Linked DNA regions of Canis lupus familiaris. The protein of the gene in region 4 purifies or fractionates together with the protein of the main gene of each other region. This does not show direct contact. Links are inferred from orthologs where the notes say so. Each region holds a gene or a part of one and is shown on either strand. Other genes may lie near its edges. The genes, in order: RHOA, EGFR, VDAC1 and ATP1A1.

The links.
Region 1: the proteins of ATP1A1 (region 4) and RHOA purify together in Homo sapiens (affinity purification with mass spectrometry; 3 studies listed by BioGRID and IntAct, with this or other methods). This does not show direct contact. The link is inferred for Canis lupus familiaris from reciprocal best matches to the Homo sapiens genes ATP1A1 and RHOA.
Region 2: the proteins of ATP1A1 (region 4) and EGFR purify together in Homo sapiens (affinity purification with mass spectrometry; 4 studies listed by BioGRID and IntAct, with this or other methods). This does not show direct contact. The link is inferred for Canis lupus familiaris from reciprocal best matches to the Homo sapiens genes ATP1A1 and EGFR.
Region 3: the proteins of ATP1A1 (region 4) and VDAC1 fractionate together in Homo sapiens (co-fractionation; 3 studies listed by BioGRID, with this or other methods). This does not show direct contact. The link is inferred for Canis lupus familiaris from reciprocal best matches to the Homo sapiens genes ATP1A1 and VDAC1.

The regions. Positions count from the first base shown.
Region 1 is NC_049241.1:40,230,061-40,234,359, reverse strand, and holds the start of RHOA (transforming protein RhoA), read right to left. Parts: upstream 2,810-4,299; 5' UTR 2,641-2,809; intron 1-2,640. Other genes in the region: TCTA (T-cell leukemia translocation-altered gene protein), read left to right, coding at 3,238-3,460, 3,736-3,838. UniProt on the Homo sapiens protein: Small GTPase which cycles between an active GTP-bound and an inactive GDP-bound state.
Region 2 is NC_049239.1:6,117,822-6,121,382, reverse strand, and holds part of EGFR (epidermal growth factor receptor), read right to left. Parts: intron 2,368-3,561; coding exon 2,168-2,367; intron 1,051-2,167; coding exon 918-1,050; intron 1-917. UniProt on the Homo sapiens protein: Receptor tyrosine kinase binding ligands of the EGF family and activating several signaling cascades to convert extracellular cues into appropriate cellular responses.
Region 3 is NC_049232.1:22,230,493-22,234,831, forward strand, and holds the start of VDAC1 (voltage-dependent anion-selective channel protein 1), read right to left. Parts: upstream 2,820-4,339; 5' UTR 2,799-2,819; intron 2,275-2,798; exon of another isoform or gene 2,175-2,274; intron 1-2,174. UniProt on the Homo sapiens protein: Non-selective voltage-gated ion channel that mediates the transport of anions and cations through the mitochondrion outer membrane and plasma membrane.
Region 4 is NC_049238.1:54,370,199-54,373,759, reverse strand, and holds part of ATP1A1 (sodium/potassium-transporting ATPase subunit alpha-1), read right to left. Parts: intron 3,264-3,561; coding exon 3,140-3,263; intron 2,313-3,139; coding exon 2,167-2,312; intron 2,053-2,166; coding exon 1,922-2,052; intron 1,655-1,921; coding exon 1,553-1,654; intron 1-1,552. UniProt on the Homo sapiens protein: This is the catalytic component of the active enzyme, which catalyzes the hydrolysis of ATP coupled with the exchange of sodium and potassium ions across the plasma membrane.

The DNA.
Region 1 (4,299 bases), on a different chromosome or scaffold from region 4:
TATAGTAAGACACATTAACACACATGTTTAAAATTTAGTTACATTAATATGTAGGTGCAAACAAAATTCCTCTAGCCAGGGACATGAAAGACTAAAAACTAAGTGCTACAGGAAGGTAAAATAACTTTTAAGTACCTTTTAAAGTACAAATATATGTGATTAAAATCCAGTGATTATGTACCATTTATCATTATCACTAGCAGCCAAATACAATTAAACCCAAAGTGTTGTCTAGAGAAGCTCAGCAAGCCCAAATTCGTTCTCTTAGAAGCTGAAGTATCAGTCTGTCTTCTGAGAGTTAACATAAATCTCTCAGCTCTAGAACTAAAACAACCCAAAGTAGCAACTCCTCCTCCTGTCACAGCTTGAATTCCACCTCAATATCTACCTGTTTTCACTCTCCTCTAAGAACAACCAGGACAAGAGAATACGATAAAACTACTGCCACACATACACAGAACTATTTACTTAATATGTGCAGTTTCTCACCATCCCACCTCAAATTAATAGGCAAAAGAGCCCTCAGTCACATTATAACATCTTGGTCTGACCTAATTATGTTGGGCTTTGGAGCAGGGGAGTCTGGGCCTCACATTGGAAGAAGTTGTTCCCTCAAGAAGACCCAAACACCCCTGGGTGGTACACTCAGTCGAGCATCAGACTCTTGGTTTCAGCTCAGATCATGATCTCCAGGTTGTGAGATTCGGCTCAAAGTTGGCCTCCGAGCTCAGGGAGGAGTCAGCTAGGGTTTCTCTCTCTTCCTCAAAACCTCCCCATGCTCGTGCTCTCTCTCAAATGGTTAAATAAATCTCTAAAAAAAACAAACAAACAAACAAGCGAACAAAACCCCCAAAACACCTAAAGCTAAAACTAGGCCAAGCAGGGACTCTGTATATTCATTTATGTATTTCAATCAACTGCTGTAGGACCATCCAGTTCCGGGGAGGAGAGCGCAGTGAAAGCTAAAGAACTGAGTTTGTTTAGAAATGAATTTTTCAGGTTCTCAAAACATATATAAAATCAGTAATATGTAAAAGAAGAAAATACTGGAAATAAGTCCTGAATTTTACTTAACTCTAAGCAAGCTGTTTCAGAGTACAAGAATACCTCAGAGTTCTGGCCTGCACCTGACCAGAAAAATGACCTTAGGAAATTTATGTAAGTCTCTGAGACTCAGTTTCCTCATCTGCAAATAGGGTTAGACCGTAAGTCCTGAAGATACCTTTGGGTCTAAAATTCTAGATCTACGAAAAAGTCAGTGGATTTCTATTCTCTTCTTCCCTCCAGTACAAATTTTTTATGAGAAAAGAAGCCATAACTCTAAGCCTAGACTCTGACTCAAAGTGAGTTTTCTTCTATTTTGTTAGCTTCCCAAGGGCCACCACTCATCTACAAAAGTAGATGGAACTACCAAAAAAACAATTTATCAAAAGATCTTTAAGTTTTCCTTCACAATTAAGAATTAGTCTTGTACTTTCAGGCCAAACAATGTCACGCCCAACGCTCATACCAGTATCTCTACCAATTTAGCCATGTCTAAAGTGACAATCCTGCAATGGTACATATATGTACCATTTTCAACCATTTAGTGGTTGAAAAATTAAATGACTGAAAAATTCTCACCACAAATAACATTTTAAAGAATTTTAAGTATTTTTCCCCTTCAGATCTGGCAGGGAGGGCTATAAAATGCATACCTGAATAAAAAAACATTTACTTCAAAGACAAACACCAAAAGAAGGAAACATATCACCAATATTGGTAAAAACTTTAAATCAGGACCATTAAAAAAACACAAGTGGAAAACACTGTGATAAAAAAGGATACCAATTTTCCACCATAAACTACTGCACATTGTCTTGACCAAATCGATTTGAGTGCAAACAGTGCTATTTAATAAAGACAGCTTGTAACTGGGTTCAATCGGTAACTAAAGACAGATGTTTAGGGGATTCCAATCAAGGTAATAACTTAGACTAAGCAAAGTTGCAAATTAATACTCTATTTCAATGCAATAGAGTTTAAATCATGAAAAAGTGTTTTCAACTGGAAAATTCCCTTCTCAATACCCAAGAATCCTAACCCGTAAGATTTCAACACTACTTTACTTACACAATCTCCGAAACTACTGCATTTAAAAAGAAAATCTACCCAAAACATATCTGGACTTCACACCGTATAAAACGGTGATTCATGTTTCATATTCAATGCAAAAGCCAAGATGGAGTTGTAAAGAGTTTCTTTCCCATTTCAACTCCCGACAGCCACGCGCGCTTCGCAGGGACCCGCTGCACCGCGCGGTCGCCGGGCCCAGCTCGAAGCCCCCGCCCTGCCCCGCACGGCCGTGAGAGAGGAAGAGCCAGGGACCGCGGGCGGGCGTCTTGGGCTCCACCAGGCCTGGCCGGGCGGGGGAAGGGGCGCGGGAGGCCGCGGGGCGCGCTTCCGGGGACTGCGCGGGCGGGGCCGTCGCTTTGGGGAGCGGGGCCCCGGCCAGAAGGCTGGGGCCGGGGCCCAGGGGCAGCCGGTTGAGAGCAGCAGGTGGGGCGCGGCCGCGGCGGGGCGGCGGGCGGGCGGGAGGCCGGAAGAGCGGCGGGCGGGCCCGGGGCGCCGCGGCGCCAGGAGAGAACCCTCTCGGCTCACCTCAGGCGACGACTCGCAGTCCGGCCTCTCTGCGCCGAGTGCGCCTGTCCGCGAGTCGGAAGCTCGGAGACTGGGGCGGGTGGCTGAGAAGACCACGGCGAACTAACGAGAGAACCGACGGAGGACGGCGGGCGGCGGGCGGGGAGCGCGAGCGAGGGCGGTCGGCGGCGGGAGGGCGGGGAGCGACGTGCGCGCCCCCGTGTGCCAGCGGGCTCGAGCCGGCCCCAGCCGCGGCCCCGCGCACGCGCGCACACTTACAGCTCAGCCACGATTGCTCAGGAGCGCGTCCACGCCCTAATAGCAGGGCGCTTAACCAATCACTGCAGCCGCGTGGGGCATCACGGGAACTCCGGGGCTATAAAAGACCTGGTTGCTATTTTATGCTCCTCGTCTCACTCATCGTTTAAGTAAGCAGGGTGGGGCTAGGTGCGCGTGCGCGGTTTTAGTACTCCTCCCCAAACTGCCAACTCTTCGCGCAAGCGAAGTAGACTCGCCTTGCCTGGTTTACGCGTGCGCATTAACGGGCCTGGCCCGGAAGACCAGACGCCTGCGCAGTGGGTGCTATAGTGACAGTCCCGGGTGGGGCATGGGCCAGTCATGGCGGAGCCTTGGTCTGGGCAGTCCTTGCAGTCTCTGCCGACCTTGGTGCTGGGCACACTGGGCACCCTGGGCAGCGAGTTCCTGCGGGAGTGGGAGGCGCAGGACATGCGCGTTACCCTCTTCAAGCTGCTGCTACTGTGGTTGGTGATAAGTCTCCTGGGCATCCAGCTGGCGTGGGGGTTCTACGGGAGCACGGTAACAGGGCTGTATCACCGCCCAGGTGAGGCTCCCCATCCCCACCGGACTGCATCATTGGGCTCCCCAGAACTCCCTAGACTACCACTGGTCTCCTAAGAACCTCATCACAACTTTATGCTCTACCCTGACCCATGCCAACATACCATTTCATGCCAGAAATCCCGGACCACCCATCACATTTTAACCGCTCCCTTGAACCTCCATCAGACAATACCACTAGTCCCTTTAAGGCCCCCACAAGACTCCATCAAACAACATCACTGGCCTTTAACTTGATCTGGGCTGATACCTGCTCAGATTCCCACCCCAAGCCTGCTGCAGCTCTGGATGTGTTCCTGCCCCCAGGTCTGGGCGGCCAGAACGGATCCACACCTGATGGCTCCACGCATTTCACTTCGTGGTAAGTAAATCTGTGCCCATGTCAACCCCATGCTTGGCAGGCAGAAGACACATCTATGCTGGGAACAGGGACAGGGCTAGGAAGTTCTCAGGGCAGGAGTCCACCAGTTTAGTGGCCTTTGCAGCAAGCTCAAAGGCTTGCAAGTGGAGCTCAGGCTTCGAATGATACCAATTTAACAGCCCATTGATAGGCTATTCAGCAACCTGTGGGGCTGGTGGTGCTACTGTCAAAATCTCAGAGATAAAGTAGCAGGTCTGTTGAGTTCAACTCTACTGCAAGCCCCTCAATTTAGAAAGGCAGGAGGCTTTGTCCTTTTTTTTTTTTTTAAGGTTTTATTTATTCATGAGAGACACAGGCAGAGGGAGAAGCAGGCTCCATGCAGGGAGCCTGACATGGGACTTGATCCTGGGTGTCTAGGATCACACCCTGGGCTGAAGGCGGCGCTAAACCGCTGAGCCACC
Region 2 (3,561 bases), on a different chromosome or scaffold from region 4:
CATGAGATTCATGTCTGTTTGCAGCAGTAACGATTGCACCAATATTTCTTACTTGTTGAAGCAACACTGTCAATTATACAAAGGACTCTGTTAGGTGACCGAGCGCACCTGCTAAAGGATTCCTACAGAGTTGGACTTGGGCTTCTCATCCTGTTCCTAAATATTTCTGGATCCGTACTGTGGCCCAAGCGCTGAAAGCGAACAAGAAGGATGGTTCCTGTAGCCATCTGTAATTCCCATGGCTCTTCTCTCTCACAAAATTTCCCCTTTTCTTTACATTAAAAAACAAAAAAAAGCACCTCTGCCTCTCTCTATCCTTCAATTTTACTTTCCTATTAATTTATTCTTAGTCATTATTTGAGGTCATGCAAAAAGCTTGACATCAGTATCAAGATTCCCACAGAAGCAACAGATTGGACTTTCTATTGATGGCAAATAAATTTAACAATGGTTATGTTATATGCTTGTTTATTTCTTTGTCCATGGTTACATTTAAAGTTATTTGCACAGTTTGGTATTTGTTGAACATGAAACAAATTAACCGGGAAATGTAATTTATACTAGGATATTTTGACATGCCAGGAAGAGTAATTCCAAAGAAAAGTCTAAACGGCTGTGGTCTTGGCCACACAAACCATTTCTGACTTTTCCATTTGTCTTGGGAACTCTGTGTGGCTGAGAAAATTATCAGGTATTTCCAAAAATAGAGACTCTCTAAATTAGTGGATAGGATTAAGTAATGAAAAAAGTTTGTTCATTTCCTTTTGTGATTAACAGTTGTCAAGAAATAAAGACCAAAGAAAAAGGGAAAAAAACAAAAGGATAAGTTTCAAAGTGAAGTAACTGTAAACCTATAAAAACAATCGCCTTATTATTATTTTTTAATGAAAACAAAAGGGGTTAAGAGATAGCCTTACCCCTCCAGAATGTTGCACTTTTCCACACATTCCTTGCCACGGCTGACGTTTCGGCAGGACACGCAGTCTCTCGGCCCTGGGCCCCAGCAGCCTTCTGAGGAGCACAATGGATGGCAGACGTGGCCTATGGCCTCTGAGAAGACAGACCGAGACACAAGGGGTCAGCTATGGCACAGTGACTGGAGGGGCCACTTGAGACCGCTCCTGTAAGTGGGATGCTGGGCTCTCTGTGACCTTGAGCTGCATGGACATGGCGGGGTGGGGTGGGGGGGCCTGGAAGAAGCGATGACACACAACGGGCTTCCAGAGGCCAACTACAAGTTCCTCTTCCCTGCGGGGAGTCAAGGGTTCCTGGCCTGGAGCTGGGTAGCATTTTGCGGATGAATGTCATAGCTGATGGAAACACAGGGAAGGTTTGTGGGCCTTGCCGTGTGCTGGGCACCATGCCAAGAGTTTTACATGTAAAATTCCATTTAATTCTCTCCCAAGCAGTGAGAATCACTGAGGAAGCCGAGGCCTACACATGCTGAGTAAACTGACCACAGTCTGGAAGCTGGGAAGGGCTAGAGTCAGGGTGTGACCTCAGATCTGCTTCTCCCAGTGACCAGGTAACGGGCACGCCTGGCTTCAAGAGCTGCCTGGGACTCTAAACTCAGACTAGAAAATGTCAGTGTAAATGTTCATTCTACCTGCACGCGTGTGCACGTGTGTGTGTGCACGTGCGTGTGTGTATGTGTTGCTAGCTACGTTCATCAGAGGCTAAAAGGTAAGATAATGTATACAAAACTCAGTTCTGTAAATTATAAATAAATAATTGATAGCTTAAATCTCAAGGCAAATCCATCCTATGACATGTGAGTGATTTGGAAACAATTCCAATGAACTTTACACGATAACTTCACATTTAGGAATATACAGATTTCTTTTAATCTGCTTCTTCAGGAATGAAAAATGTAACTTAAATGTTTGGGGATATTCCTTTTTAAAATAAATTTTTTTAAAGGATTTTATTTATTTATTCGTGAGAGACACAGAGACAGGGAGAGGGGCAGAGACACAGGCAGAGGGGAAGCAGTCTCCCTGCAGGGAACCTGATGCAGGACTCGATCCCAGGACCCCGGGATCATGACCCGAGCCAAAGGCGGATGCTCAACCACTGAGCCACCCAGGTGCCCTGTTTGGGAATATTCTAAATCAAAAGAAATGATCCATGTGAACCATCTCCACAATCAACCAGAGTGATTACTTACTGCAGGCTTTTTCATCTTTGTTGTTTATAATTTTGGTTTTCTGACTTGAAGTCCCAAAGAGTTTCTTCCAGTTTATTGTATTTGCATAGCACAATTTTCGGTTTCCAGAGATGATCACATCTCCATCGCTTATCTCCTTGAGGGAGCGTAATCCCAAGGACGTTATGTTCAGGCCGACGACCGCCAGAGAAAACTGGCCACTGTCGCGGGGAGAAGAAACATAACGTTGTTAAAAATTATGAAAAGATTATATCACTAAAAACGTTATTTTTATTTTCTGGACCACCTTCTGTTTACTACAAACTGCCTCGCACTGATTGTAAGTCATATTGCAGGAAGTCTGTATCACAACTTCTGAAAATTATAAGAGTTTTTTTTTTAAAGCTCCTCCAGGGAAAAGCCTGTTCCTTGTTCATTTAGTATCTTTAACCCCAGTGGCATTGTGGGGGCTGAATAAACGTTAATATCATTATTATATGCACTGCATTTTTTTTTTGTGCCTGGGAATAGAGAGCATGTTCTAACCTCTCAAATATCCAAATACGCTTCAAAAACCATAGGTTCATCTTTTCCACCCATGCATCCACCCATTCATCTATCCATCTATCTACTCACTCATCAATCCGTATACTTGTCTATGTATCTATGCACATATGCATCCATCGATCCTTCCACCTCTCTATTCATCCATCCATCACCCATATCCATTCATCTGTCCATTCACCTATTCACCCAACTATCTATCCACTCATCTGTCCACTCATCTATGCATCCATGCACCTACCCATCCATCCACCTTCCCACTCATCTATCCATTCATCCATGGATTCATCTATCCATTCATCCATCTATCCCTCCACCTGTTGATGCACTGATTCATCGATCTATCCATTTACTGAACAATCATTTGAACCACCCAACTCTGTGCTAGAACTCTATAAGGCTATCAATAGGTTTCCATCAAGTGATTGGGCAAAAGTCATTCACCCTGAAGGGAGGGAAGTCCTGAACAGGAGCAGGAAGGCAAGAAAGCAGCTGATGGGTGCTGAGAACCAGGAGCTACTGCTGGAGCAGAAGCCTGGAAGAAGTGTCCGGTTACTTGGACACCTTGAGCTCGGTTGTGGTCTGCAAATGATGGAAACCATAGGAAAGAGACTTGCATTTTTGGGAAGCTCACTGGACACCAAGACAGGGAATGGACTAGTTGAGACAGCACCGAATGAGGAGACATCATACACAGGATGACAAAAGTTTAACTTGGAGATTCCTCCTCTCTCCTTGTCTCTGTTTCTCCCTCAACCTTTTCCTCCTCCTCCTCCCTTTCCACAGCCTGCTCCTGAGGAAAGCGAGGAGCCCTGTGTAGGAGACCAGCAGCACCACTGTTTTAGAAATTC
Region 3 (4,339 bases), on a different chromosome or scaffold from region 4:
TTACTCTGGACAATCTCCAGGGTCAAGCATTTTACCAATCCACTCATCAGAAAGAGGAAAAGCACCAGGCCCAAAACCTTAGGAGAATCCCGACTCACTGGGGTCACCCCACCACCACCACCCTGCAGGCCCAGAAACACCAGTTCTACAAGTTTCCCACAGGATGTGAAAAAGTCACATAACGAAGGTAATAGGTTTAAAGCAGATTTCAAATTAGGAAACAGATCTGCGGGCAGCCCCGGTGGCGCAGTGGTTTAGCACCGCCTACAGCCTGGGTCGTGATCCTGGAGACCCAGGATCGAATCCCACATCGGGCTCCCTGCAGGGAGCCCGCTTCTCCCTCTGCCTGTGTCTCTGCCTCTCTCTCTGTCTCTATGAATAAATAAAATTTAAAAATCTTAAAAAAAAAAAAAAAAAAGGAAACAGATCTGCATCTCAGTGCTCCAGGGCTGTACATTCAACTGCGAGTCTTTAAATATCTGTGACTCTCTCCTAAGCAAGGGTATTTGCTGGAAGTGAATGAGTGTGTGTCCCTTAGGATGTCCAAGATCAAGAAACTCTGGTCTGGGCCTGCATCCACTACATATGCCCATTCAATAATTTCACAAATACTTAATGAGCACCTACTCTAAGCCACATGCTGCCATCGTAAAAACTATCCTTCTCTCAGTAAGGGTGAGTTGCTTCTTGGATAAAAAGCAAGATTGCATTTGCCCCCACAGACCCTTCTCAAGTACCTAATGTGGGTCAAGTGGCACCACCCCAGGCGCTGAAAACAAAGCTGCATAAGGCTTAAGCCTAACCCTGTAGAACTCAGTCCAGAGCTGGGCTGGAGAAACAAGGCAAGCCCTGGGCAGTCTGCCCTGGCCTTGCCAACAGTGAATGCAGAAAAGGAGGGATCCATTCTCTATCTCCTCCAGAGAGGTGAGGCTGGTCAAGGGAATGGGTCAAACAAGGCTAGGCTTCCCTCAGCTCTGCACCCAAAGGCAACTTCCTGCTTCAGCCTGACCTTGTCTGTCTATAAACTTCTATAAGGATTTTTCATGAATTATCCTGAAAATTACTCAGTGCCCAGTATACAAGTGCTTAGTAATAATGTTTAAAATAACAGCAGCTGGCTGTTTATTGAACCCTTTCCAGAACACCACGTGGAGTAAAATGGTCTGCAGAGGATGGGCTAAATCCTCCCAAAAAGCCTCAAGGCTGTCCAGCTTTCCCCTGAAGGCTTCGTGTTGACCAACTCATTTTATTCTTCCCAAAAACCCAACGAGGGAGAGCTGTAACTGCTCCTATTCTACAGATGAGAGCACTCAGGCCTGCTGAGTGTGACCTTGGACAAGTCACTGGGATTGCAAGTCCGGAAATCCAAGGGCTCCGAGCCAGTTTCGTGAAGGCGCCGCCGCGCTCCGTGAATGAACGAGCAAACAAACCGGGAGGCGCTCCAGAGGCCAAGGAGGCCACATCCCGCTCCCGCCGGGCCTCCCTTCCCAAGGCCTAGCCCCCCGCCCGGGCCCTAGAGGCCTAGGACCCGCGGACAAGGCCGGGCGCCAGCGTCCCTGGGCGTGCACCCACGGGCCGGGCAGGGCGTGCGGGGCCGGGGGCCGGGGGCCGGTGCGGGGGCCGGGGCCGGGGCCGGGGCCGGGCTGGGCCTCGGTCATCACAGCGGCTCATCCCCGCGGCCACCGCATGGCCCGCGCCGGTCCGTGGGCCGAGCCCGGCGAGCGTGGGTGGCGGGCGGTCCCCCGCCGGGCCGCGAGGGCGGGACCCAGGTCCAGAGGGCGCCGCCGGCAAAGGTCACCGAGACCTGCAGCCGGCCGGGCCCTCACGCGCGGCCCGTGCCCTTCCGCCCGCGGTCCCCGCGGTCCCCGCAGGCTCGAGCCCCAGCCGCAGGCGCCCCGGGGCGTCCGGCCGCCCGCTCCCCGCCCGGGCCGCCCGCCGAGGCCTGCTGCGCCCGCCGCTGCCCGCCCAGGCCCTCGCGGGGCGCCCCGCTCCCGCCCCGCTCCCGCCCCGCTCCCGCCCCGCTCCGCTCCCCCGCGCCGCCCGGCCCGGCCCGGCCCGGCCCTCGGCCCCCCGTCCGCGCGGCTCCTCCCTCCACCGCCTCCCGCTCAGCTCCCGCGGCCCGGCCCGCCCCCCCGGGCGCCTGCGGGGCGCGGGTCCCCGGCCGAGGTGCCTACCTCGCGGGCGGCGGCGGGCTCGGCGGCGGGCTCGGCGGCACCTACCGCGGAGGCTGCTGCGCGAGGAACCGAGCGCACGGCCGGGCCGAGGGCGGGGCGGGGCGGCGCGGACGGCGGCGGCGCGGACCCGCCCCGACCCTGCGCACCCGGGCACGCGAGCCCCGCCCCTGGGCCCGCCCCGGACACCGCCCAGGCCGGGGCCCGGTCCCCGCGCCCGCGCCCGCGCCCGCGCCCGCCGCCCCCTCCGCGCGCCCTCGGCGCCTGCCCCGACGCGGTGCCCCGGGCGAGTGCGGGCGCGCGGAGGGGGGCGGCGAGGGCCCCGGCGCGGGACGAGGCGGCGCGCGAGGGGTGCGTGCGCGGGGACACGCGTGCCGGCCGCGGCGGCCGAGGGCCAAGCGCCGAGCAACCCGGGTGCGCCGAGCTTTTGCGCTCCAGAGTAGCAGGCACTTTCCCCGGGAGCGAGACTGCCAGTGGCCATTTTCGGAGCTTTTGCGAAGTGAAAACAGCAAACCGCGCTTCGGCAGAACGTCCCCCGCTGGGAGCCCGAGAGCGCAGACGGGAGGCGGGAGCCAGCCCGGGCCCCCGGGGAGCCCCCGCCCCGCCCGAGCCGGCGGCCTCCGTCACCCAGAATTGCGCAGAGCCTCGTGGCCGGTCGGAGGGGCTGCGCGGCTTTGGCCTCCGCCAACAAACGTTCGTTCTCCGCGCCTCGGGGCCCGTGGAGGAGGCAGGGGCTCCGGGACCCCGACGCTCGCTCACCACCAGCTGTGGCGCCGATTAAAGGAGCAGGCGGCTGGGGCGGCGGCAGAGGCCAGAGGACAGGCTGCTGGGCCGAGGGCAGCGGGAGGAGGAAAAGGCAACTGACTGGTGTTCCGATGGGGCCCGGATGCCGAGAAGAAGGGCACCAGCTTATGGGGTTGGGAAGGGGGGGGCGGGGGCGGTGCAAAGTGCACCGGGCTCTGTAGGGGTCTCTGGTCTAAGCACGCTAAACCCCCTGAGGTCCTGGAGCGTGGAGCGCTCATGCTGGAACTCTCCCCAGGCCCACGAGCTGCTCCATGGCTAACTGGAGGGCTCAGAGCTTCCCAGCCTGGTCATTCCCGCTCCACACACAAAGGCCCCGGCACACTCCTGGAGAGGGTGAGGCAAGGAAAGCCACTGAGTCACCCATGAGCGCAGGAAAGCCGCCTTTGGGAGGACAGGACCTCAAGGAGGCAGGGCAGAGCCAGATAGCTCTAGGGGAAGATGGGGCTCCAGAAATGTCACAGGAGCTAGGAGCAGATATCTCACCCTGGGTCAGTAAAGCCCAGGTGTGATGCTTGGACCAAAGGTCCTAAGTGTTCCCCTCCTCTCCAGCACCTCCTTGCCAAACCACCTTTCAGGACCCTGATTGTGGGAAGAGTTCCCCATACCCCACCTGCTCTGGGTCCCTTCTGGGGCTCCCCCAGGTGTCACTTTCAGATGAATCACACGAGTGTTCTTTGACTCACTGGCTGTGTGACTCTGGGCAACTGGGCTAACTGCTCAGCTGCAATTTCAGAGGGTTGGGGCAAGTTTAAAATGGGAAGCAAGCACTCCAAAAACACTGAAGAAATCTGGTGCAACATGGCATCCTCAGACCCTAGTGTTGACTGCTCCCCACCACAGCCCCAAAGGAAGAGCTGAACCAGGCAGCAGGTTATGCCAGGCTTGGCTCTGCCACCTCCAGCCCCACCTTCCTTCTTTCTTGCCAGGTTCGGACTGGAGGGGGGGCACCTGACCCAAGAGCAGCCAATCAGGTCCTCCCTTGCAATTATGAGCTAATAAACCCAGGTCAGGTATAACAGTGTTTCTTTGGAGGGAATGACCCTTCTCTCTCTCCAGTCATTCCATAAGCTTTGATGGAGCTAACTCCATCCCTGACTCCAGGCCCTTTCTTGGACCAATCAAAGCACTGCACCCTACTGGCTACAGGATGGACCAATGATCTTCGTCAGACTTCAGGGCTTTTGAAATAAAGACTTGCGCTGGGGCACCTGGGTGGCTCAGTTACTGAGTCTGCCTTTGGCTCAGGTTGTGATTCCAGGGTCCTGATACCAAGTCCTGCAACAGGCTCCCTGCAGGGGATAAATAAAATCTTTATAAAATTTTTAAAAAAGACCCTAAGAATGAAACCAGTCCACAAAAGAGAA
Region 4 (3,561 bases):
CTATAGCCCATGCCTTAAAGATTATAAGCTAGTGGGGAACAGAAATGACAAGTAATACCAAAGAAGGGGTGCAAGTACACCAATCCAGGAGGGTGAGACCACATGGGACAAGCTCCCGGGAAACCAGTCCTGAAGGATTATCCAAACTAGTGGGGTGGGAGGAAGCATCCTTACCAAAATATGTATGCGGGGAAAGAATACTGAATTCACCCAACAGAAGCTTGGATGGCTACAAGAGAAGGCTAGAAAGACCATTTGGACAATAGTGAGAGACCCTAGATGCCAGGCTACCCTTGCACACAGGGGATATCTGTACAGACCCAACAAGATGCCAGGGAGGCTCATGGGGCTTGGCTACTTCAGGGATGGGGTCAGTGGAAGGAGGTGATGGCTACCAGCCAGGTAGGATGGATCTGAGAGCAAGGCTGGGGAGAATTTTTTTTTAAGAGTTTTGGGGTGTATGTGTGGGTTGGGGGATGGGGGGTGTGGGCACAGTGAGAGAGGGAGAATCTCAAGCAGACTCCTTGCTGAGCACAGAGCCCTATGTGGGGCTTGATCCCATGACCCTGAGACCATGACCTGAAATCAAGAGTCAGACAACTAACCAACTAAGCCACCTAGGCGCCCCAAGGGTGGGGAGACTTTTTTTCTTTTCTTTTTTTTTTTTTTTTTGAGACTTTTGAATCAAAAGGTCATGTTACAGGGGTGCCATATTTTGTACTTTAGCATCTTTTAATCAAGTTACAACTGTTTAACCTCAACCAGCTAGCAGATACCACCACACTCTTTTGTTTCAAAAAGCTACTGGAGGGACGCCTGGGTGGCTCAGTGGTTGAGCATCTGCCTTCAGCTCAGGGCATGACCCTGGGGTCCTGGGATTGAGTCCCACATTAGGCTCCCTGCATGGAGCCTGCTTCTCCCTCTGACTGTGTCTCTGCCTCTCTTTCTGTGTCTCTCATGAATAAATAAATAAAATCTTAAAAAAAAAAAAAAAAAAACTACTGGAATTTGCACTTGTGATAAACCTGAATTTTTCACATACAGGGTCTACCACAGAGTCCTTCACTGTGTTTAAAAAAAGGCTAGTCTGATCCTGAGCAAAGACTTAGTGGTCAGCTTCCTTTGGTCTACTCTACTGTGATCTACTTCAAGCCTGCTTCTCCCACCTTCTTCCTTTGAAAACAGAGGATTCCGAGGCCCAAAGGCGGGGGCCTGTGATAGGACACACAGGAACTAGGCAGGTAAATCAAGATTTGAACCCATTCCAAGCCCTAGGCCTCTCTGGTCTGCCTCTAATGACAACTAGACAGTTGCTGAAGGTGGCCTGAGCACTGATGCAGTTAGCTGGTGAGCAATCCCAAGGTACCAGAGCCTGTCTGGCCTGATCCCAGGTAAAGCCTAAGGACACTGGTCAATCCTTCCTAATTTCCAGCCAGAGAAATTCTTGGATGTGCCACCCCAAATTCCTAACAGTAATAGTTACTAGTGCACATCATGAGAGAAGTTCCACTTTTCTCTCACACTTTGCGGAGCTGGAAGAGGAGCAACTTACTTGAGGGGGTACATCCTCAGGGCAACACCCATTCCAGGGCAGTAGGACAGGAAAGCAGCAAGGGCCGTCTCTTCAAAGAGGCCAAATATTAGGATCTTGTTCCTAAAATCAAGGGAAGAAAAAGCTTAAGAATGCAATCAGATGTTTCTCTTCTAATGCTATGTGTTAAAAGACAGATCAAGGTCTTTATGTGTCAGTTGTACTTAGGAACTTGCGGGCAGATGAAAAAAAAAACCCGGAGAATCACATCTTGCTTCCTAAATCTGTTCCAAAAGAGGGGATTTTCCAGAAACTGCCATGTATTGGGTTCGGGGAGTTTAGAGATCACCAAGATGCCTCCCGTGAGGGCCCTGAGTGTCCTCTACTCACTTCATCCCCTGCTGGAAGACTGAGTTCCTCCTGGTCTTACAGATGACCAAGTCAGCCCACTGCACCACCACGATACTGACGAAGAAGGCCGTGTGGCAAGTGAACTCCACGATTTTCCTCTGTTCGTAGGTCTGAAACACAGAAGGCAGACAGGTGAGCCGGCTCTTGGCCTGCATGGCCAGAGGCTGAGTGGCCACTGTCCTCGGGGGGCCTAAGGAGCTCCCACTGTTTGGGCCCTCACTCACCCACTGCTGCCCATAGCTGTCCTCCACGTCGTTGATCCAGCGGTCATCCCAGTCCACTCGGAGGCCCAGCAGGTGGGTCGGGAGGAAGCCGTTCTCAGCCAGAATCACAAAGTAAGTGAAGAAGCCCCCCAAGGCCTGGATCATACCTGCAGGGGTGGAAAAACAATTCTAACCTGATTCCAGGGCATCTGCACATACTTCATCTGAGTGCTGCAGGAAGCCTGGGAGGGGACTTAGGGGCGGCTGTCACTGGTTGAGAGAGGACTAGAAGGATGGAGGATCCCAGGGACATAGCCCTCACTCGGTGCCCTCTTCTCTTTTTGAATCACTTTTTAGAGCTTTAAAAGGGGAAGACACACAGGCCTTACTCTGAAACCCCCGAAACACCCACTGCTATTACATGGTCATGTATCTCTATGGGGGCAGAGCCTTTTTAGGGGGGAAAAACGCATCCCTATTTTTTAATCTCTGATACAACACGACTATTTTCCCATCTCAGTTTTCACACATTCAAAATAAGTGAATTTTCTGACCCAACCCTTCTCCTCCTCCTACCACTTTCAGGACGCTTCTCCTCTGGCCTCTGATCCCACACCACACTATCCTGAATTCCTCAGGGCAAGATTTCGTCCTATGCTCTGGACCTAGTCTTCCTTGTTAAACTTAGGTCTTCCCGGCCAGTAGCCAACCTCTTCTCAGCAACTGTCGACAAGTCTCTGTCCTATTTCTACAACGTTCTTATCTGTTCCATTTTACCCAAGTGTTCACAGTACTACAACCTATTAATCCAAAGGCCTGGGCTGCTCACAGTGGCCTTGCCGGCTTCTCCTGAAGGCCAGTAGGCAGAGCATTTAGGATCAAAGGGCATTTTCACTGCCCACCTGTTAGAGGTCATGTTCCACTGCTGATAGAGCAGGAACCAAGCCCTGGGGGTGGAGAGAGTTGGGGTGCAAGGTCACCAGCAGCAGCTTACCGATCTGTCCATAGGCCATGCTGATCAGCCGCTCATTCACAAGCTTGTCCGTTTTGGGGTTTCTGGGCTGTCTCTTCATGATGTCGCTCTCAGCTTGCTCATAAGCCAGGGAGATAGCAGGAACCTGGGGACGAGAGGCAGGAGTATAAAAGTTGTCAGATACCAGGAAGCTGACACTGTGAACCTTCCATTATAAAGTCCTTGCCCTTTCCCCCTTTATTTTCTTACTTTTTAAAGATGTTATTTATTCATGAGAGATACTAGAGAGAGGCAGAGACACAGGCAGAGGGAGTAGCAGGGACACAGGCAGAGGGAGAAGCAGGCTCCATGCAGGGAGCGGATGAGGGACTCGATCCTGGGACTCCAGGATCATGCCTTGAGCCCAAGGCAGATGCTTAACCGCTCAGCCACCCAGGCGTCCC